4 linked regions of the Arabidopsis thaliana genome follow. The protein of the gene in region 1 purifies or fractionates together with the protein of each later gene. This does not show direct contact. Each region holds a gene or a part of one and is shown on either strand. Other genes may lie near its edges. The genes, in order: PAB3, CSY3, CSY1 and CSY2.

Evidence for each region.
Region 2: the proteins of PAB3 (region 1) and CSY3 fractionate together in Arabidopsis thaliana (co-fractionation; one large-scale study listed by BioGRID). This does not show direct contact.
Region 3: the proteins of PAB3 (region 1) and CSY1 fractionate together in Arabidopsis thaliana (co-fractionation; one large-scale study listed by BioGRID). This does not show direct contact.
Region 4: the proteins of PAB3 (region 1) and CSY2 fractionate together in Arabidopsis thaliana (co-fractionation; one large-scale study listed by BioGRID). This does not show direct contact.

The regions. Positions count from the first base shown.
Region 1 is NC_003070.9:8,053,654-8,059,604, forward strand, and holds PAB3 (poly(A) binding protein 3), read left to right. Parts: upstream 1-1,671; 5' UTR 1,672-1,945; coding exon 1,946-2,249; intron 2,250-2,763; coding exon 2,764-3,545; intron 3,546-3,637; coding exon 3,638-3,715; intron 3,716-3,801; coding exon 3,802-3,891; intron 3,892-3,982; coding exon 3,983-4,279; intron 4,280-4,350; coding exon 4,351-4,566; intron 4,567-4,930; coding exon 4,931-5,146; 3' UTR 5,147-5,407; downstream 5,408-5,951. UniProt on the Arabidopsis thaliana protein: Binds the poly(A) tail of mRNA. Appears to be an important mediator of the multiple roles of the poly(A) tail in mRNA biogenesis, stability and translation. In the cytoplasm, affects both translation and mRNA decay.
Region 2 is NC_003071.7:17,802,325-17,807,620, forward strand, and holds CSY3 (citrate synthase 3), read right to left. Parts: upstream 3,750-5,296; 5' UTR 3,668-3,749; coding exon 3,437-3,667; intron 3,348-3,436; coding exon 3,167-3,347; intron 3,065-3,166; coding exon 2,979-3,064; intron 2,772-2,978; coding exon 2,667-2,771; intron 2,551-2,666; coding exon 2,488-2,550; intron 2,368-2,487; coding exon 2,258-2,367; exon of another isoform or gene 2,107-2,257; coding exon 1,987-2,106; intron 1,916-1,986; coding exon 1,840-1,915; intron 1,746-1,839; coding exon 1,672-1,745; intron 1,583-1,671; coding exon 1,462-1,582; intron 1,347-1,461; coding exon 1,249-1,346; intron 1,168-1,248; coding exon 1,044-1,167; intron 949-1,043; coding exon 808-948; 3' UTR 517-807; downstream 1-516. Other genes in the region: AT2G42780 (transcription elongation factor B polypeptide), read left to right, coding at 1-67, 157-322. UniProt on the Arabidopsis thaliana protein: Peroxisomal citrate synthase required for the fatty acid respiration in seedlings, citrate being exported from peroxisomes into mitochondria during respiration of triacylglycerol (TAG).
Region 3 is NC_003074.8:21,720,229-21,725,397, forward strand, and holds CSY1 (citrate synthase 1), read right to left. Parts: upstream 3,563-5,169; 5' UTR 3,499-3,562; coding exon 3,262-3,498; intron 3,140-3,261; coding exon 2,959-3,139; intron 2,797-2,958; coding exon 2,711-2,796; intron 2,637-2,710; coding exon 2,532-2,636; intron 2,458-2,531; coding exon 2,395-2,457; intron 2,321-2,394; coding exon 2,211-2,320; intron 2,125-2,210; coding exon 2,005-2,124; intron 1,921-2,004; coding exon 1,771-1,920; intron 1,696-1,770; coding exon 1,575-1,695; intron 1,475-1,574; coding exon 1,377-1,474; intron 1,264-1,376; coding exon 1,152-1,263; intron 898-1,151; coding exon 838-897; 3' UTR 545-837; downstream 1-544. Other genes in the region: CSY2 (citrate synthase 2), read right to left, coding at 4,336-4,476, 4,551-4,674, 4,770-4,867, 4,978-5,098.
Region 4 is NC_003074.8:21,723,806-21,729,849, reverse strand, and holds CSY2 (citrate synthase 2), read left to right. Parts: upstream 1-1,712; 5' UTR 1,713-2,391; coding exon 2,392-2,637; intron 2,638-2,768; coding exon 2,769-2,949; intron 2,950-3,094; coding exon 3,095-3,180; intron 3,181-3,468; coding exon 3,469-3,573; intron 3,574-3,664; coding exon 3,665-3,727; intron 3,728-3,816; coding exon 3,817-3,926; intron 3,927-4,084; coding exon 4,085-4,204; intron 4,205-4,282; coding exon 4,283-4,432; intron 4,433-4,523; coding exon 4,524-4,644; intron 4,645-4,754; coding exon 4,755-4,852; intron 4,853-4,947; coding exon 4,948-5,071; intron 5,072-5,145; coding exon 5,146-5,286; 3' UTR 5,287-5,544; downstream 5,545-6,044. Other genes in the region: AT3G58760 (Integrin-linked protein kinase family), read right to left, coding at 1-34, 114-199, 294-389, 480-554, 744-1,283. UniProt on the Arabidopsis thaliana protein: Peroxisomal citrate synthase required for the fatty acid respiration in seedlings, citrate being exported from peroxisomes into mitochondria during respiration of triacylglycerol (TAG).

The sequences.
Region 1 (5,951 bases):
TTAATATCTCTATTTATAGTAGAAGAAAAATAACTAGCTACACAAAATATCGGAGAATGCATGATCACACATGTCAAGCATATTAGTGTATCCCTAGCTATACGAAGTAGATGTATTGTATGACCACATATCTGAACTATACGACGTCATGTAGTTAACACCACAGACATGCAATTCCGGTACACTAATAAATTTACTCCGTTGAAGACCAGTGTTGACCGGCATAGTTGAGGATACTATAGTATAATTGGCATGGGTAAATTAACTAAAAATCATCAATCCATTTATCATAATCCAAATTCTGGTCAAAAGAATCTAAAAATAGTTTCATAAAAATAGTTTCATGTTTCTGTTTACAGTAATAAAATTGATATCTTAGTCATGACCAAATCAATAGCCGCAAGTTATGCTCCCAAAAATTAGCTGTTCATCTTTTACTCCAATCAAAAACATAAAAAAAAAAAAACAATTACAATTTCTATTCTAAGTAAATGTTAAATAAATTTATTAAATTTTACCTCCTAAGACTTCAGTGGTTACACTATTAGAAAATAATTAGATTTGTGTGCCTAAAAGCCTTAGAAGCATGCATTTTTTATGAATAAATAAATTTAGTATTGATTTCGGTATAGAAAATGAAATTAGCAAATTCTTGATATGTGTAACTAAAATAAAATCTTATGTAAAAAACAGAAGCGATAAAGGCAAACATAATTCAAAACTGCGACCAATTCTTATTATCAAAGATTTATGAAACACCAATTAGCTATTAATAGTAAAAATCAAGTGACACTTTCCCTATACTAAATTGTTAATTGTTCGGATTTATAGGCTTAGCTAGTTAAGTATAAATATTAATCCACACTCTTCACACTAATTCAATTTTATCCCTAATAAAAAACTTGAATCTATATATGTGTATCAATATATGTGTATGATATTTAAAGGGGTTTGTAGTCTATTGAAATAAATAAAAGATTCCATTATCCATGATTTTTAATAAGTTACTTCGTAGCATTACTAAACCTATTTACATCATCAACAATACAACTGATTTAATTTCAACTAACTAAAAAATTACCAATTTATTTATCATAAATTCATAATCTAATATCTGGTCAAAAGAATCTAAAAATAGTTTCATGTGTCTATTTATAGTAATAAGATTGATATCTTAGTAATGACCAAATCAATAGCCGCAAATTTTGCTCTGAAAAATTAGTTGTTCGTCTTTACTCTAATCAAAAACATAAATAAAAAATCACAATTTTTATCCAAAGTAAATGTTAAATCAATTTATTAAATTTTAGCTCTTAAGACCTCATTAGTTATATTATTAGAAATTAATTAGATTTGTGTGCTTATAAGCCTTAGAAGCATGCATTTTTTTATGAATAAATAAATTTAATGTTGCTTTCGATATAGAAAACAAAATTAGCACATGCTCGATAAGTGTAACTAAAATAAAACCTCATGTAATAAAAAAAGAAATAAAGGCAAACATAATTTAAAACTGCGACCAATTCTTATTATCAAAGATTCATGAAATATTCAATTAGCTATTAATAGTAAAATCAAGTGACATTTTATTTATACTAAATTGTTAATTGCTCGGTTTTATAGGCTTAGCTAGTTATGTATAAATATGCATCCACACTCATCACACTAATTCAATTTTATCCCTCTTTACTCTTCTTGATAATCGGAGGAAACTAAAAAAGGAAAAAAAAAAATCTAAATAAGAATAAAATTCCTAAAAAATAAATAAATCAAAAATTGTGAAGAAACAAATCCTCGAGTCATGTTGTTTACAGAAAATCTCTTTCTCACTTAAAACCCTTACAGAAACAAATCATCGAATCTTTGTTTTTTTAGAATCAGTGATTTTGTTTCCTTTCACGAGACGAAAATAACAAATCGTCTTGTAAAAAGTAAACTCATAATCATGGCGGCGGCGGTTGCCACAGGTGTTGCACCGGCGACAATGGTTGATCAAGTTCCCAGTCCGACGGCGCAGACTTCGGTTCAGGTTCCGGTTTCAATACCTCTTCCATCCCCGGTCGTGGTAGCCGATCAAACCCACCCGAACTCGTCGCTCTATGCCGGTGATCTGGACCCGAAAGTTACTGAAGCACATCTATTTGATTTGTTCAAACATGTTGCTAATGTCGTCTCGGTAAGAGTTTGCCGCGATCAGAATCGTCGATCTTTGGGATATGCCTACATCAATTTCAGTAACCCTAACGATGGTAAATACAATTCTATATCGCTTCAATTGCAAGTTAGGGTTCATGTCTTGCAAAACAAAATATATATATTATCATGAATTGCATTACAATAAGAAAAAGTGTTTTGATTTGATTTTTTTCAATCTCAATTTTTTATTAGACATGGTAATTAATTTTGATCAGTATCATGTTCCTGTGCGAATCATCTTTTTTTTTGTCTAGAAATTAACATATAATCAATATTCTATATTGTAGTTCATCTCTACTATACCATGATTCTGCTACATTGATATGTTTCGTTTGAATATCAAAGCTACAACATTTATTTTAGTAGTTGATGCATCAGTCTCTTATATTATGATTTTTCTTAATTAGTTCAATTTAATACGTGAAATTTGTTTGAAATTGTTCTTTCAATCTCATTAATTGTAGAAACTATAGGTATTTGTGCATTTATAAATATCATAGATGCTGGTTTTCTATAATGAATTGAGATCTTATTTGCCTATGTTTATATGTTGATTTATGTTTGCAGCTTACCGTGCAATGGAGGCCTTGAACTACACTCCCCTCTTTGATAGGCCCATTCGGATCATGCTTTCGAACCGTGACCCAAGCACGCGATTGAGCGGCAAAGGAAACATTTTCATCAAAAACCTTGACGCTTCAATCGACAACAAGGCCTTGTTCGAGACGTTTTCAAGTTTTGGAACCATCCTCTCATGCAAAGTTGCAATGGACGTGACTGGCCGGTCCAAGGGGTATGGATTTGTCCAGTTCGAGAAGGAGGAATCGGCTCAAGCCGCAATTGACAAGCTAAACGGAATGTTAATGAACGACAAGCAAGTTTTTGTGGGACACTTCATCAGACGTCAAGAGCGTGCTCGTGATGAAAACACCCCTACACCGCGTTTCACTAACGTGTACGTCAAGAATCTCCCCAAGGAGATTGGTGAGGACGAGCTACGAAAAACGTTTGGTAAATTTGGAGTGATATCGAGCGCAGTTGTAATGAGGGACCAGAGCGGAAACTCGAGGTGTTTCGGGTTTGTGAATTTTGAGTGCACTGAAGCAGCGGCTTCGGCGGTTGAGAAGATGAATGGAATTAGCTTAGGGGATGATGTGTTGTACGTTGGGAGGGCGCAAAAGAAGTCTGAGAGAGAGGAAGAGCTAAGAAGGAAGTTTGAGCAAGAGAGGATAAACCGGTTTGAGAAATCTCAAGGAGCGAACCTGTATTTGAAGAATCTTGATGATAGTGTTGATGATGAGAAACTCAAGGAGATGTTCTCTGAGTATGGAAATGTGACATCCTCCAAGGTAATAATTAATTAAAAACTCATACATATATTCATAAATATATATGTTGTTGATGTTACGTTGTCTTTGACACAATCCTTTAACTAATGTAGGTTATGCTTAATCCACAAGGAATGAGCAGAGGATTTGGTTTTGTTGCTTATTCCAATCCTGAAGAAGCTTTAAGAGCCGTGAGTTACTAAAACTATAATATATTCTTCTTTTATTGTTCGTCTCTTTTGATATCTGAGAGATTGTTACATATGAGACAATGCAGCTGAGTGAAATGAATGGGAAGATGATCGGAAGAAAACCTCTATACATAGCTCTTGCGCAGCGCAAAGAAGATAGACGAGCACACTTACAGGTTTTTTAAAAACTCTTTTAACATATTTAAAAGAAATGGGTTTGTTAAAGCTATATGTGTGACTAAGTACATAAGTTTGCAATTTTTTCAGGCGTTGTTTTCACAGATTAGAGCACCAGGGCCAATGTCAGGGTTCCATCACCCGCCAGGTGGACCAATGCCCGGTCCACCTCAACACATGTACGTAGGCCAAAACGGAGCAAGTATGGTCCCGTCCCAGCCCATTGGATATGGATTCCAGCCTCAGTTCATGCCCGGGATGCGTCCAGGTTCTGGCCCGGGCAACTTCATCGTGCCTTATCCGCTTCAAAGACAACCTCAGACCGGTCCTCGTATGGGATTCAGGCGTGGTGCTACTAACGTGCAACAACACATCCAACAACAACAAGTATGTTACTAAACTGAGTCTGTTTATAGTTTTCAACAATCATGAAACTGAGTTGGATTGAATATTGACAGCTTATGCACCGTAACCCGTCCCCGGGAATGAGATATATGAACGGTGCGAGTAACGGGAGGAACGGAATGGATTCGAGTGTTCCTCAAGGAATCTTACCTCCTATCATTCCTTTGCCAATAGATGCTTCTTCGATCTCTCACCAGAAAGCTCCTCTCCTTCCAATCTCTAAGCTCACTTCTTCCTTAGCTTCTGCTAGTCCAGCTGATCGCACTCGGGTTTGCCTCTTTTCCTTCCATCTCAGCTAAACATTTCTTTGTTTTGCGTTTTCTTTTGCATTTGGTGTATAACTTTTGAATAATAAACCCTTAACTCTAAACATATGTTTTCAATTGTTGATGCAAAACCAAACGCAAAGAGAGGTCAGTCACATTTGCATTTTATCTTACAAAATATTTCCTGAATAACTGAAAAATGTTTTGGTGAATTTTGTTTCTTAACATCAAATGTTTGAAAGAATTATGGTCTTATAACAAATAAATAAAAGTTAAAGTCACATAAATATATAGTTGATAGAGATTGGCATATCTATATATTTATATGTTTACTGATTTTTATTTTTAAAAAATTGGTTGGGAACAGATGCTTGGAGAACAACTGTACCCACTTGTGGAAAGGCACGAACCACTTCACGTGGCTAAAGTCACAGGAATGTTGTTGGAGATGGATCAAGCTGAGATCTTGCACCTGATGGAGTCACCAGAGGCACTCAAGTCTAAAGTATCCGAGGCTTTGGATGTTCTCAGGCTATCTGTTGATCCAACTGATCATGATCTTGGTTTCTCTACCACCGACTGAAATTTGCAATGCGTTTGCTCAACTCTGTTTTCTTCTTTTAGTTTTGATATCGACTCCTTTTCTTTTCTTTTTTGGGTTTTAGTCTTCCTTTACTATTTTAGCAGTTTTTTTTTGTTTACTTAGTTTATGGTTTTTGTGTCTTTAACTTAGTTTATGGTGTTTTTCTTTTTCTTTGGACAATGATGATTTCTTAATAATCTGAGTAGACTTCTTCTTCCGAATCCCCAAATAATCCATCTCTACTTGAAATTTAAGTTGTTCGGTATTCATGGTCAGCAACAAGGGACAATCCTTCTATTATGGTAGCAGCCTTCTATTATGAATTTATTCGAATGTGTCTACTCATAATTTGTGGTTTGTATTTCAACTTGTAGTTGATATCAATTATATGCACACAGACTTTTTCTTTTTGAGGGGTTGGAAGCAAGCGATTCAATGATTGTACCACTCATTTCATAATAGTGTTTGATATGACGTTAATTTGAATGGTTTATGTTGATCGAAAATACTCTCAGTCACAACAAGAATCTAATTCGATTAATTTATTTGAAAAACATATGTTGGCATGGTACATGAACCAGCTCGTTCATATGAAAATATTTTAAAAAGTCAACATCAGTGCTAATTTCAAATTGACCATACATTAGCACACAAGAAGACTAACAAAAAAAATGAGTGAATAAAGAAGAGAGTGAGTGGGGTTGATACATGTCACCGTCCAAAATGTGTCTGACCCTTCTCATTGGAGCTACAAGAGCCGACCCTTTGCCTCATCATTTGTTGACTTCACTCTCCTTTTACATAT
Region 2 (5,296 bases), on another chromosome or scaffold:
GAAGCATTCCTTATGGTGGACGAAATCTTACTGAAACTAAAAAGAACACGATTCAGAAGAGTTTCAGGTAACATGTCCTCAGTATCTATATATCTATATGGATCCACTTCTTTATCCCCCAAACTTGATCGGTTTGACGGATCATGTCTTGTATAGTATATCTGCTCCAAAGAGGACTGGCTTATCCGCTAATGCGCCTTCAACTTCAAGAAGCGTTCCTTCTGGTGGACAAAAGCTACCTCCAAGGAGGATCAACGGCCTTCCTGGGACTGCTCCTTCAACTTCAAAAAATGCAGCCACCAGACAAAAACATGTAATGTAACTTATATAGCTTTTTTACAGATCATTTTTTCTTCGAGTGTATCATTTACATGGCTACTTCAAGTTTCAAGAACTCCGAGTTTTGAAACTCTGGCTTGATGATATCCTAGTTTGTAACAATAGATCTTCAAAAGTTTTTACAATGATTTAATAAAGTGCTTTGTTTTCTACTTGTTGCTTTGGCCGAGATATTTCACAACAAACGTCTCTGCAGAAGCATTCGATATAGAAATTAGAGTAATAATCCATAACCATAAATCATTTTATACAATAAACACGTTCTGATAAGAAGACAAACAAGGCGGACAAACACCCTTAGAAGATGGATTGAAGCAAATATAGATCAAGTCTATATTGTGCCTACAAAATGAGAAATCTAAGTTTCGAGTATGATCAAGTATCTTAGCTTTAGGCTAGAGAAACCAATCTCTTTTATTCTTTGCGGTGTGGTTTGATGTATAGTATGGACCCTAAAAGGGCCTACGTCTAAACTGAAGATCCAGCCAAACGTCTTCTTGATGCATTTGAAGTCGCGACTTGACCCAATTTGTCTGACTCTTTCGAGTCATCCGTCACTATTCTCTCTCTCACTGGTGTGTAATGCCTCAGCCACACGCCTGTGTACACCTGCAACATTTAATATTCCAATGAACCATCCAAGTTTCAAATTGATCCAAAGAAAAATCTTTCTCTTATTATTCTTGGAAAGAGATTAACTATACCTGTTGTGGTCTCATGATCTTGGTGTCAGGATCATCCAGTGACTCTTTCCAATGTGACAAGTATCCAGCCATGCGAGGAATCGCGAATAAGACCGTGAAGAACTCCGGTGGAAATCCCATTGCCCTGTTGTAATGGTCCAAGTTTGCAGATTTAGATGAAGTTGAGAGGAAGTTATGGATACTGCACATGCATTCAAACTTTTACCTGTATATTAATCCAGAGTAGAAGTCAACATTTGGATACAGCTTTCTCTTAACAAAGTAATCGTCAGAGAGAGCTGCCTTCTCAAGTGCAACAGCAACCTGCAGACATCAGAATCAAACACATTGGCTTTAAGGAAACATGAAAAATTACACTAAATCGAAAAGGTGGGCATCAAGTTGTAGTATAAGCTTGAACTTCGTGGACATAGCGTACCTCAATTAGAGGATCCTTTCCAACAATGGAAAATACTTCATCAGCCAGGTTCTTGATGACTTTAGCTCGAGGGTCATAGTTTTTGTACACACGGTGTCCAAAACCAGACATCTTCCTCTTCCTAAGATGTCAAAGGGATGAGAATTTTAATGAAAAGACTTGTCACAAACCTCGGAAACGGAAGCATATAGTTTCAAGAATTGATTTTACCTGTTCTTCACACCCTCAATGAACTCTGGAATATTTTCAACAGTCCCAATCTCTGACAACATCTTAAGCACAGCCTAATGGAACCAAAGACATGAATTTCAAAGACCATGGAGCATGAAAATACATCAGAAGATGTAACATATGAAGACATGAGAATAAATAGCATACCTCGTTTGCACCACCATGAAGTGGACCATAAAGCGCTCCCACAGCTCCAGCAACAGCAGTGTAGACATCAACACCGCTACAAGAAGACATTTCCTAATCAATATATCTCCTATCAAGGTCACTAAGATTCCAACCAAAGATAAGTACCTAGAGGCAAGATGCCGAGCAGCAGCGGTGGAGCAGTTCATTTCATGCTCTGCATGCAGTATGAAGAGGATGTCCAACACCCGAGCCAGCCGAGGATTAGGTTTGTAGGATCTATTTCCCCTGTAAGAAGTGTGTTAATGGCACGCTACAAGTTATGTACACAGTAAAAAAATAACTAGGCTTCAAGTTCTCTGAAGCGTCAAGATCTAAAACTAAATCTAAAAGTTGAGTTTCTAACTAATTCAAGAAGAAAGAGATAGCAGAGACATACAGGGAATCAAGCATATAGAGGAAATTATCTGCATAAGGAAGGTTTCCTGAAGGAAGAACAGGAGGCCTTCCTGCCATCCTCAGATAAGCAGCTGCTGCAATTGTTGGTGCCTGCACAAATCGCAAACACGTTTAGTTGCATCAGATCTTCATGAAATTCAGAGTCCAAATATGTTTATGCGTGACACAATATAGGAAGAAGTAAGGTAACCACTGATAACAAAAAAATACCTTTCCAATAATGCGGATAATTTGTTTATCTCTAACTTGTTTTGAATCGTAAATATCCTGGCCCTGCACCCAATAGAGTATCAGTCAACATGTTTATACGGACAATTTCAAAAGAGCTAAAACTAGCGAGTGACAAGGCCTGACATGTTGTTAGAGAAGTAATATAAGGTTAAACCTACCCTAAGAGCAGGATTAGCATCAGGATGAAAGATGGAAAGCGCACTCATTGCACTCACAAGAACTCCCATTGGGTGTGCATCATGAGGCATAGACTGTATAATATCCTGCACAAAAGTTATCAAGTAAGTGGAGTTAGATATGAGAAATATATAGCTTTGAGTACAGCACACAATCCTCAGAACAACATGTATAGAACAGTCTTGACAAATTATTGTTCGACCAGACAAGAAAATAGGCTACTAGTAAAGAACAGGCTAACTCCATTTTACAAATCGAAATTGAAATCCATCAACCAAGGATTAGAGACTCACTAATACACCTTGTGGCACAGCTGAATGCTGAGAAACTGCAAACTCCCAATCAGATAGCTGACTTTCAGAGGGCAGATTCCCATACACTGCCAGAAAATATAGTAAAGGAGAAAACTTTTCATCAATGTCCAATTCGATACACATAACACTTGAAATTGTGTAGTAAGGTTAAAAGGTAAAACACTTACTGAGAAGATAAGCCACCTCCAGAAAAGTACTGTTCTCAGCCATTTCCTCAATTGGGTAGCCACGGTAACGAAGGATCCCTTCATCTCCATCGATGTAAGAAATCGAAGATCGAACAGGAGCCGTGTTCAAGTAACCTGGATCGTATAACTTAAGCCCCTTGTCTTCCTTCCCCGTCACTATCTGCAAGCCAAACAACACGCAACAAAGCAAATTCTCAGCTCAAAATCCCACAGTGATAGGAAAATGGTCATTTAGAAAAAGGGTTAAACCTTTTTGAAATCAACGGCTTTAACGGTACCATCATCTGAGACCGGAACTTTATAATTTTTTCCGGTGCGTTCGTCGACGATCGTCAGTGTTCCCTTCAAAGATCCAAGCGGTGCGACACTCGTATCCGCCGACGTGCACCATCGCTCGATCGCTGGAGAATCCTGTTTTCCTTCCGATAAATGACCTGAGAGAACAGCTAATCGAGCTCGAACTCTCTCTGATATCTCCATTCAACCAAAATCAAAATTCAAAGAAGGAGAGAAGAAGAAGAAAGGGAGCGAAGAAATTATTAGAAACCATTCTTACTCTTCGTTAATATAACACGTGTCTTATCCCCTGCGGTCAGGAGTATTGAACAGTATCCACGTGTATGCGATCTAACGGATATCTTGATATCCAACGGCGTAAGCCTTATTGACCCAACTTGGACTAACGGTGATGATCTTCTCCATCTCTAAGCTGTCAGAATTATGTGGGACCCACTTATCAGTATTATCTAGTTAGTCAATTGCTTTCCTCGATTTGCTAAATATCAATTCGATTGCTACGCAATGCTGAATGGGCCGAATTGTCTTAATATGGGCTTCTGTATATTCATCTTTAGGCCCAACAGTATACCACTTTTTATTTGGGCCTTTTTTGTTGATACGGCTCGCTTTACCATCGGAACCAACCCAACATTCATTTTTCGAACTATGACTGAAATCTTATTAAAAAAATGAATGTAAAGCTAAATATGGATGTTGCGTTCAAAATAAAACTCATGAGTTTATGGATGTTCTTCATAAATTATAGTTATCATTAATCAAAAGATGGAAAATACAAACGGTTATTTACTCTTTAATGTTAGTGTACGAGGCTATTAATCTTATAAGTTGTATTTATGTATTATATTATGGAGAATGAATAGGTCTAATTACGTTTTAAAAAAAAAGCATGGAGGAAATGAGAGTGAAAGGTATAATAAATGACATGTTAAAAGCGACGGGTCGTATATTTTGATTCGTACCTAAAAATAGAATTCTAAGTTTACCCCACGTGAGGCTCTGAATCTGAGAGTGATAGATTTTTCTTTCCCTCCTTCCGTTTTCAACACATGATGACATGAACAAGGAACTGTTCCTTTTTTTTTTCTTTAAACATTATCTGCAACGGTGATCACTCACTCAATGATATCTTTCATTTATAACTTCACACGTCTATAAATTAAATTTGTTCATAGGATCTACAATAACACAATTAACATCACTTGTGTTTTTAAGTTATTCAAGCAGAGGCATAGTAATTGATAAAAATAGACAACAAGAAAGCATTTGAAACAAAATTACTGTTGTAAACAAAGCTTTTTCACGGTAATGGAATTCCGAAATAAAAATATATAAAAAAGAAAGTGACAGAGGAAATGTGTGAGAGAGGCAAAGGAAATGCAATATTTGCAGGAAGAAAAAAAGCATGAGAAAAAAGTAGGTGTGGATTTAGACACATGACTGACAAATTATATTTTTCTAGTTTCTCCTCTATATGGTGGTTTCTGCGTTTATCATGTTTAAATATATTTAAACCTTTCATTAGTCACATCACATCCCAAAAATGTGTACGATAATAAAAAGATTGTTTATATACCAAAATTAATTGGTTTACTCAATCATCTTTTTAATTTTGGTCATTTGATACGATCAATCATAGGGTGTCCTAACGTTAAGTTCGATGACGCTGCTACCTCTTTTGAGCGTACCATTCAGGGTCCTACTCGGCTACTCCTACATAATGAATTTAGCAAATAGCAGTTTAAAAACAAATTACGTTAGTTGATTAAGATAAATAAATTAGCTTAACACAAATTTGAAATGGTTAGTTGA
Region 3 (5,169 bases), on another chromosome or scaffold:
GTTTCCAAATGGTTGAGGAGAAAATAATCTCTCATTCAACACTATATTGTATGACATTTTTTTAAAAGGATATGATTTGGTGGTTAACTAATTATTCCGAATCAATGTGTGATATATAAAAAATCTTAGAACTAAAGCAATGTGTTATATTAACTAAAGAAGAATAAGAAGATCTTCTTTTAGAACTTTCCTCACAAAAGGCACAATATCTATCAAAAGTTATGTCTTAATTTCCTATACCAACTTAATTATTAGATGGAATTGATTATAGAACCACTATACTTAAGATATGTTTTAAATCATAAATTTTAAAATAACAGACAAACAAATGAAAAACAAATTCAATAGTATGTAGATTATTGAGTGTTTTAACTATAAGGAGAAAGAAAACAACACACATTGTTGAGAAGACCCTTTTGGTTTTCGTCATTATTGCTGCATATATGTTCAATTACCAATCTCATCTTGATTTGTTGTCTACTATCTTCTTACTGTTTCGGTTATATTTAATTTAGATTTGAACTGTTTTTATCACTTTATGATTATTGTTCAACATCATATTCTTAAAAACATGCTATAATACACAAATATTTTTATTTTATTTTGACAACTTATACATACATAGACACACACACATGTATTACTAACTCGAGGTCGGATGGGGTTTACCCAAACTATATTTTATATAAGCATATATATTCTTTATATATATTTGTATATTCGCTTGGCTTTCCGAGTCAAATTTCATATTAGTAGTATAGGAACGAGACTTGACCCAGCTAACGCCTTCTTGATGCATTCGAAATGGAAACTTGACCCAACTGATCCAAATCCGAATCACAGCTTGGTTCTTTCTCTCACTGTCTCGTAATGCCTTATCCCCGCTCCAGTATAGACCTGTGCCAAAAAAAACTTTTGATCTATTCAAAAACTGCATATATCCATTAAAAATTGTATTACTCATGAGCCAAAAAAAGAAGAAGGTTCAAGTCATTAATATATCCAAGAGTGTATGTATCTATGCATAATGTATAATCTCATGAGCAAAAAAGAAAACTTAATTACTCATTGATCTATCAAAAAGTGTCTTTATTAGCCATGAGCCAATGTTATCTAAACAAAGTCACTTATATATTAAAGGTGTATTTTACCTGTTGGGGTCTCATGATCTTTGTGTCAGGATCATCTAAAGACTCACGCCAGTGTGACAAGTATCCAGCGATACGTGATACTGCGGTGAATGATGATGGGATTCCCATTGCCCTGTGTTTTGGCCCATTTCAGTTACCAACAAAAAAGATTCAAATAAAGAAAGAACTCAATGGTTACAACAACTCATTAGTCAGAATTTGTTAGATAACTAATCAATGTCTTACCTATTGATTAATCCAGAGTAGAAATCAACATTTGGGTACAGCTTTCTCTTAACAAAATATTCATCAGAAAGTGCCGCCTTCTCTAGAGCATCTCCTACCTGAAAACATTATTTATACACCAAATATTTTCTTAAACCAAATTCATCATACATATGAAGGATTCAACAAGGAAACGTGAGCAACAAGAATACAGAGTACCTCAACCAGAGGATCCCTTCCAAGAATGGAGAACACTTCATCCGCCAGTTTCTTAACGACTTTTCCTCTGGGATCGTAGTTTTTGTAAATGCGGTGTCCAAAACCCGACAACCTCCTCTTCCTGGAATAAAAAGAGTTAACATTAATGGAATATTGACCATCACATTCTAGGTATACTCTCTAAGAATTGAGTTACTTATTCTTCACGCTTTCAATGAACTCTGGAATATTTTCAACAGTCCCAATCTCTGATAACATGTTAATCGTAGCCTCAACTGCACCACCATGAAGGGGACCATAAATGGCTCCAACACCTCCCGAAACAGCAGTATACACATCACCACCACTACATAAACAGAGGATTTATGTGCTGATTAAAAAGTATCTCATAGCAGACTCAAATGAATCTCTAACCAATGATAAGTAGTACCTAGAGGAAAGGTGCCTAGCAGCAGCAGTAGAGCAGTTCATTTCATGTTCAGCTTGCAGTATGAAGAGGATGTCCAGCACTCGAGCCAAACGAGGATTAGGCTTGTAAGACCTATCTCCCCTGTAATCAATGGAAGATGAGACTAAACAAGTGCACAGTTTTATGGCTACCATCTCCAAATCAAACAAAGAGGGACAATAACGTACATTGATTCCACCATATAGAGGAAATTCTCTGAATAAGAAAGGTTGCTCAAAGGTTGAACAGGAGGCTTGCCTGCCTTCCTCAAATAAGCAGCTGCTGCAATTGTTGGGGCCTGCAGACACGTTATATTATAATTCATAGTCCGGTTATACATTGAGGCACCAAATCACACAGACAGAACAATACCTGTCCAAGAACACGAACAATCTGTTTATCACGAACTTGTTTTGACTTGTAAACACCTAGGCCCTGCACCAAATGGGGATTTCCATGTCGGCGTGGAAATTTTCAGAAGAAAGCAGGATTATAAAAACGTAACTTACCATAAGAGACGGATTTGCATCAGGATAAAAGATGGAAAGTGCACTCATTGCAGTGACAAGAGCTCCTACTGGATGTACATCATTAGGCATGGACTGTATCATATCCTGTGAAAACATTCAGATAAATCATCTCACCTCGAAGATCTAGAGAAAGTTAGGAAAGAGTAGAAGAAACTCACCAATACTCCTTGTGGCACAGCTGAATTCTGAGAAATCGCAAACTCCCAATCAGCTAGCTGTCTTTGAGAAGGCAGATTCCCATAAACTGCATGCAAAAACAAAAAAAGCAGTAGTAAACTAGAGCACTAAGGGAGACAAAATTTTAAAGAAATACCCACACAAAAGCAAGACTATGAGCTATACAAGATGATCAAGATGATCATAATTAAGCAACAACAATGAGCTATACAAGATGATCAAGACTTACTTAGGAGATAAGTAACCTCTGTATAAGTACTTTTCTCAGCCAACTCCTCAACTGGGTATCCCCGATAACGTAGGATTCCCTCATCTCCATCGATGTAAGAAATCGAAGATCGAACAGGAGCCGTGTTTAAGTAACCAGGATCGTATAAGTTAAGCCCCTTGTCATCCTTCCCTGTCGTTATCTTCACACCAAACATGAAAATCCATTTATACACACTCACACAATATACAAAAAACAATCTATTCGTAGTACTAATGGCCACAATGAAGAAATAACTTCAGCATAAAAACTCATTATATATACCTTCTTGAGATCAACGGTTTTAACGGTACCATGCTCTGAGACTGGGACCTGATATTCATTCCCCGTACGCTCATCGACGATCTTCAAATTTCCTTTAAGCGATCCATGCGGTGCAGCGGTTATGTGAGCCGATGTGCACCATGGTTCGATCGCTGGCAACACCTGATTCGGCTCAGATACTGTCAAGTGCGCATTGAGAACGGCTAATCGAGCTCTAGCTCTCTCCGAAATCTCCATTTGTCACCTCAAAAAGATCACAATTCAAGAAAGGGAAGCGAATAAGAAACCAAGTGGCTGTTGTAGTTCAAAGTGATATATAGGCATGCATGGTTTTATAGTGGGGAAATTTGATAATTTCATTACGTAACACTTTTGTCTTAATACTTTTGTGGGTATGATTGGCGTGAATCTACAGTGTCTTCTTTGTCTTCAATCAGAGTTTTGTGGCTTTTAACCAATTTTAAGTATGTGTCTCTGCGACAGTTATGTATTGTTTTGGTTGCTTCTTACTTCTTTCTGTTAATCAGTGTCAGGTACTCCAGGGTTTGTTATTTAACGTCACTTTTCTTTTATATTTGTTCACACTTCTCACAATTGTTCTCATTTGAAATGGAAATATTATTGGCAATAATGCAAAATGATAGGAAACTTTCAGGCAAATTATAAATACCGTACAAAAAAATATGATATGATGTTCAATGAGTGGTTAGCTTATTGTTATCACTTGGAATCTGCATAACATATTCACCCTAAAAATAACATTCAGTTAATCCTAAATGATATGATTTGGTGGTTGACATTTTCCAAACCAATGTGTTAGACATGTCTTCAGAAATTAACATTAACAGGAATAAAAGCGCAATTTATCAAAAGTACATGTCGTTCCCTATAACAAGATTATTATTATTAAATCATAACATTTTAAAATAACAGACAAACAATAAGAATAGGGTTGTATTATTAAGTGTTTAAGAATAAGAGAAAGAAAACAACACATGTTGTTGAGAAGACTCTCTTGTTTTCCCAGAGGTATCCCAATGTTTTCTTCTTTATTGGTGAGTATTAGGATTGAGACTAAAGGGCAGATGATCCAGCTAAACGCCTTCTTGATGCATTCGAAATGGAAACTTGACCAAACTTATCCTTATCCGAATCACTTGATAACGTTCGTTCTCTCACTGGCTCGTAATGCCTCATCCACACTCCAGTATAGGCCTATATGCAGCCACACAATTCAGTTAGCTCAAACTATAAACCTTTTGATCTATCAAACAAGTTATGTATTTTACCTGTTGGGGTCTCATGATCCTAGTGTCAGGATCATCTAACGACTCACGCCAGTGTGACAAGTATCCAGCCATACGCGGGACTGCGAACAGGACTGTGAAGAATTCTGGTGGGAATCCCATTGCCCTGTGTTTTTCCCCCATTTCAATTACCAACACAAGGTTCAGGTAAAGAACTTAATGGTTACAGGGTCTATGTCAGATGAATCAGCAATGTCTTACCTATAGATTAATCCAGAGTAGAAATCAACATTTGGGTACAGCTTTCTCTTAACAAAATATTCATCAGACAGTGCCGCCTTCTCTAGAGCAACTGCTACCTGAAAACATCATCCGTCAAAACAAAATTTAACCCACAGTCATGTTATATAAGAATTTTTTTGACAACCAAATACTAGGAGAGATACGTGAGCACAAGGATCTACAGTACCTCGATGAGAGGATCCCTACCAACAATGGAGAACACTTCATCTGCCAGTTTTTTTATAACTTTTGCTCGGGGGTCATAGTTTTTGTAAACACGATGTCCAAAACCTGACATCTTCCTCTTTCTGAGAACATAGAAAAGGGATATAACATTACCGGCATGACTCACCACAATTCAGAGTACTTGGTGCTTGTA
Region 4 (6,044 bases), on another chromosome or scaffold:
TTGAAGCAGTGCAAGTTCGTCCCTAAATGCATTCCTGGATACCAGAAGGATATGAAAACCTTTAGAGCATGATTAATACAATAATACAAAGAAATCAATGGATGTAGACTCACACTTTGTCTTCATCAGTGAACATTTCCTCTCCAAAGGTTTTAACAGCCACGTCAATTCCACGCCATGAAGCCTTGTTAAAGGTACCCTGTAAAGCAGACAGACAGTAATTACAACTGTGAACAGCAAATAAAAGCAAGTGAAAACAGCAACAAATAAATTTGGGCAAGGGAACTACTTACCTTTGAAATTTTGACAGAGTTGGAAAAATCAAGCTCTGTAGGATGAATCTCGTACTCTGGAACTTCTTTATCAGTTAGGACATGCATAGGAGCAATCTAAAATCAGAAACGATTATTAAAGAAATCAATCCAAACATTCAGAAACTAAAACATCCATCAATGCAACTATGAGGGATAAACACATACCGTAGGCTTAGCACCATGTTTCTCCAAAAGTTTAATCACATCATGATTTTTGTAATACACTGCATCTGCAAGAGGCTGGTAAGATCAATCACAAATTGTTAACCATCACTGTTATTGCAACCGAGTTTGCTAAATCTAAGTGCTCCAGTAAAACATATGATTTGTGCGGCAATTCGTCGAACACAAAACGAACTAAAGAGTCTACGAGAAGTCAAGTCAGGCAAAGCAAACAAAATTCAGCCCAGAGAAAGTTCGAATTCATACCGTACTACCCCATCGGTCCTTCGTATCAACCTTAGCACCACGGCTAAGCAGCAGCTCAACGACATCGGTTCGTCCTTGACAAGCGGCGACGTGAAGAGCAGTACGGGCATCGATGTCACGGTAATCAACATTAGTACCCGAATCAAGCATCTTATTGATGCCATCGATATCACCTTCGTTGGCTAAATACATTAAACGAATCGTCGGATCCCCGATCCCAGCTGTAGCCGCCGCAGCCAAGTCGTCGTCCTCATCTTCCGTTAACGTATCAATCGGGGTTCTTGATTCCGGCGCAAGCGAAGACTGCCTACCTAGCTTGAATCTCGCCGGCGATTTAGGCTTAATCGTCATGTTCAACAGAGGACTTGGTGAGAATTTTCTGCCGCAAGCAATATGAGCTGTAAATGGAACTGTAACGGCAGCAACAGAAAAGAAAAAGAAAAGTAGAAAAAAAAGTCCCAACCAATCAGCAGGCTTTAAGGGTTTGCCTCTTAATGCGGGTGAAGTATCATACTCGTTTTCCTCCTCCCTACTCATCATAATCTACAGTACTTCATTTTTTTTTGTAATTACTACTCCTTTTTTTATTAAAAGGCTAATTGCATTTTTTTCTCTCTTTTTTGTTGGACATAACTTTCTCCTTTTTTGAACAATTTAACTGAACAAACAAATAAATTTGATTAGTGCAAAAGCAAAGGATGGTACAAAAGTGTGAGTGGAGGTTTCATAATTGAATCACTTTTTAAATTTCAAAGATATTTTGAAAATAATTTGGGATAGTCAGTTAAATACTAAAAATTATAAAACTGCATTTAATTTGCAAACATAACATATGTGTTGTGAGAACTGAGAAGTGACCTTGGTTTAGTAGCAGCGTTCACAAGTCCATCAAAAACTGAATGGGGTTTTAAGTTCCTTCTCATACATAAGAGTTAATTGGGTTTAATGGACCGGCCCGTTGTGACCCAATGCAGTGTATTACCAGCCTCTTACTGGTGAATCTTTGTGCTACAAATATAAAATTTCCATATGTTCATAAATTTTAACTGCAAAGATATTGGACCATTTCCCTTGTTCTTATTACTATTGTCATCAGCCCAGGCGTAAAGAGCTAATGGGCCGATCAATACACTTAGGGAAATTAAATTTCTCAATGTGAGACCAATGAGTTGGCCCATTATCGAAAACCAGATAGTTATTTAGCAATCCGAGGACGCCAATCGACTTCTACTCGATCTACATAGCGTCTGAAAGACACTCGCTCGTGTTCTTCCACCTGTCATTCTCATTGAGCGCGTAGTCTTCACTGCCCTTGCCCGGGTGGATTTCAGAAACGAAAGTCTTAATCCTTTGATAAACTTGACAGATAAGCCTCTTTAGACTTTCCATATTAGTTTTTGACGAACAATTCTATCCGTTGATCTAAGCTGAATAATCTTATCACCGTCGAGCTTTGGATAAACAATGGATCCGATTTTCAATACACTTACCCGCAGAGAATAAAAATATCAGCTACTACCAAAATTAGCAAATGCAGGATACAAAAGCCAAGTCACTTACCGCAAGATTGTTTCTTCTTCTTCTTCTTCGCTTCCTTCCTTTGAAATTGAATTCAGATATTTTTTTTAAAATTTTTTGAGAGGAAGAAATGGAGATTTCGCAGAGAGTGAAAGCTAGATTAGCCGTTCTCACCGCGCATTTGGCGGTGTCTGATACCGTCGGATTGGAACAGGTGTTGCCGGCGATCGCGCCATGGTGTACATCGGCTCACATTACCGCTGCACCTCATGGATCACTCAAAGGAAACTTGACGATCGTCGATGAGCGTACGGGGAAGAAATATCAGGTCCCTGTCTCAGAGCATGGTACCGTTAAAGCCGTTGATCTCAAGAAGGTATGTAACGGATTTGTAATCCTGAACAGAATTGTGGAATCGAGTTAGTTTTATCTGAATTTTGATTCGTCTCACCTAATTTTCCCTGAATATGATAAGGAATTTGATGGATTTGCATGTTTGGTGTGCAGATAACGACGGGGAAGGATGATAAGGGGCTGAAGTTGTACGATCCTGGTTACTTGAACACGGCTCCGGTTCGATCTTCGATTTGTTACATCGACGGAGATGAAGGAATCTTACGTTATCGGGGATACCCAATTGAAGAGTTGGCTGAGAGCAGTACTTTTATTGAGGTTGCTTATCTCCTCAGTAAGTCTTTATCAATCTCGTTGCTTATTCTTGTTGTTGTTGTTGCTTATTTTACTTTTGTGGCGTCTACTTGTGGAAAAGAAAATGTCTTGAAAATTGTGTCTCTCTTAGTGTCGTGTTAAAATTCCCCTTTTTTTGTCTCCAGTGTATGGAAATCTGCCTTCTCAAAGTCAGCTAGCTGATTGGGAGTTCACTGTTTCTCAGCATTCAGCTGTGCCACAAGGAGTATTGGTGAAATTTCTACTCTTTCGTTATTTGGATTTTCATACTAGTGCAAATTCCAAACTTTGTATCAGAATGCAAATCCAAACCAAAGAGGGATTTTGAAAATGATTTCTTGTCAAGTGTACAAGTTGTTTGTCTTGCTTGTAAACCATGTCTATTAAGGATACTGGATCTCTTTCTAGTATTAGTACCTTATGTCTTACTCGCCGTTGTGAATATAGTTATGTGTATATGCTTAGTAAAAGAATTTTCTATGGATTTTTGATCTGAGACGATTTCTGAATGTTTTTGCAGGATATCATACAGTCCATGCCTCATGATGCACACCCAATGGGAGTTCTTGTGAGTGCCATGAGTGCACTTTCTATCTTTCACCCTGATGCAAATCCTGCTCTTAGTGTAAGTTTTGAAATCCTGTTCTTTTCGTACTGTCAAGATGCCTTTTTCTGAAAATGGCTATGCCAACTCGATTTTCTTTCATTGGGTGCAGGGCCAAGACATTTACAAGTCAAAACAAGTTCGTGATAAACAGATTGTTCGCATTCTCGGAAAGGTATTGTTCTATCTGTTGATGATTTGTTTCCTTAACGTATCTGTGTATAAGTTGCGGGACTAGAAAAAGGGTTTACAACGTGTTTGCAGGCACCAACAATTGCAGCAGCTGCTTATTTGAGGACGGCAGGCAGGCCTCCTGTTCTTCCTTCGGCCAACCTTTCTTATTCAGAGAATTTCCTCTATATGCTGGATTCAATGTACTTTCCCCTCTTTCTTCTGTCTTTATTTGATTTAACACTTGCATTTTAAAAGGGTAGTCAGAAAAACTGTGTTTCTTTAGTCAGTTTAAATCTGTTTCAAGCTTCAAACGTGTCTGTAACACAGGATACATTCTTTAATCTTCAATTGATTACAGGGGCAATAGGTCTTACAAGCCTAATCCTCGTTTGGCTCGAGTGCTGGACATCCTCTTCATACTGCATGCTGAACATGAAATGAACTGCTCTACTGCTGCTGCTCGGCATCTTGCCTCTAGGTACTTATCAGTTATCACTGATTAGAGATATTCATTTAGACTTCTTTGAGTGTTTAAATCAGTATTGTGTTTCTGCAGTGGTGTTGATGTGTACACCGCATGTGCTGGAGCTGTTGGGGCGCTTTATGGTCCACTTCATGGTGGCGCGAACGAGGCCGTGCTTAAGATGTTAGCAGAGATTGGGACTGCTGAAAATATTCCAGATTTCATTGAAGGCGTGAAGAACAGGTAACTCAATGCTTAATAACTACAAGCACCAAGTACTCTGAATTGTGGTGAGTCATGCCGGTAATGTTATATCCCTTTTCTATGTTCTCAGAAAGAGGAAGATGTCAGGTTTTGGACATCGTGTTTACAAAAACTATGACCCCCGAGCAAAAGTTATAAAAAAACTGGCAGATGAAGTGTTCTCCATTGTTGGTAGGGATCCTCTCATCGAGGTACTGTAGATCCTTGTGCTCACGTATCTCTCCTAGTATTTGGTTGTCAAAAAAATTCTTATATAACATGACTGTGGGTTAAATTTTGTTTTGACGGATGATGTTTTCAGGTAGCAGTTGCTCTAGAGAAGGCGGCACTGTCTGATGAATATTTTGTTAAGAGAAAGCTGTACCCAAATGTTGATTTCTACTCTGGATTAATCTATAGGTAAGACATTGCTGATTCATCTGACATAGACCCTGTAACCATTAAGTTCTTTACCTGAACCTTGTGTTGGTAATTGAAATGGGGGAAAAACACAGGGCAATGGGATTCCCACCAGAATTCTTCACAGTCCTGTTCGCAGTCCCGCGTATGGCTGGATACTTGTCACACTGGCGTGAGTCGTTAGATGATCCTGACACTAGGATCATGAGACCCCAACAGGTAAAATACATAACTTGTTTGATAGATCAAAAGGTTTATAGTTTGAGCTAACTGAATTGTGTGGCTGCATATAGGCCTATACTGGAGTGTGGATGAGGCATTACGAGCCAGTGAGAGAACGAACGTTATCAAGTGATTCGGATAAGGATAAGTTTGGTCAAGTTTCCATTTCGAATGCATCAAGAAGGCGTTTAGCTGGATCATCTGCCCTTTAGTCTCAATCCTAATACTCACCAATAAAGAAGAAAACATTGGGATACCTCTGGGAAAACAAGAGAGTCTTCTCAACAACATGTGTTGTTTTCTTTCTCTTATTCTTAAACACTTAATAATACAACCCTATTCTTATTGTTTGTCTGTTATTTTAAAATGTTATGATTTAATAATAATAATCTTGTTATAGGGAACGACATGTACTTTTGATAAATTGCGCTTTTATTCCTGTTAATGTTAATTTCTGAAGACATGTCTAACACATTGGTTTGGAAAATGTCAACCACCAAATCATATCATTTAGGATTAACTGAATGTTATTTTTAGGGTGAATATGTTATGCAGATTCCAAGTGATAACAATAAGCTAACCACTCATTGAACATCATATCATATTTTTTTGTACGGTATTTATAATTTGCCTGAAAGTTTCCTATCATTTTGCATTATTGCCAATAATATTTCCATTTCAAATGAGAACAATTGTGAGAAGTGTGAACAAATATAAAAGAAAAGTGACGTTAAATAACAAACCCTGGAGTACCTGACACTGATTAACAGAAAGAAGTAAGAAGCAACCAAAACAATACATAACTGTCGCAGAGACACATACTTAAAATTGGTTAAAAGCCACAAAACTCTGATTGAAGACAAAGAAGACACTGTAGATTCACGCCAATCATACCCACAAAAGTATTAAGACAAAAGTGTTACGTAATGAAATTATCAAATTTCCCCACTATAAAACCATGCATGCCTAT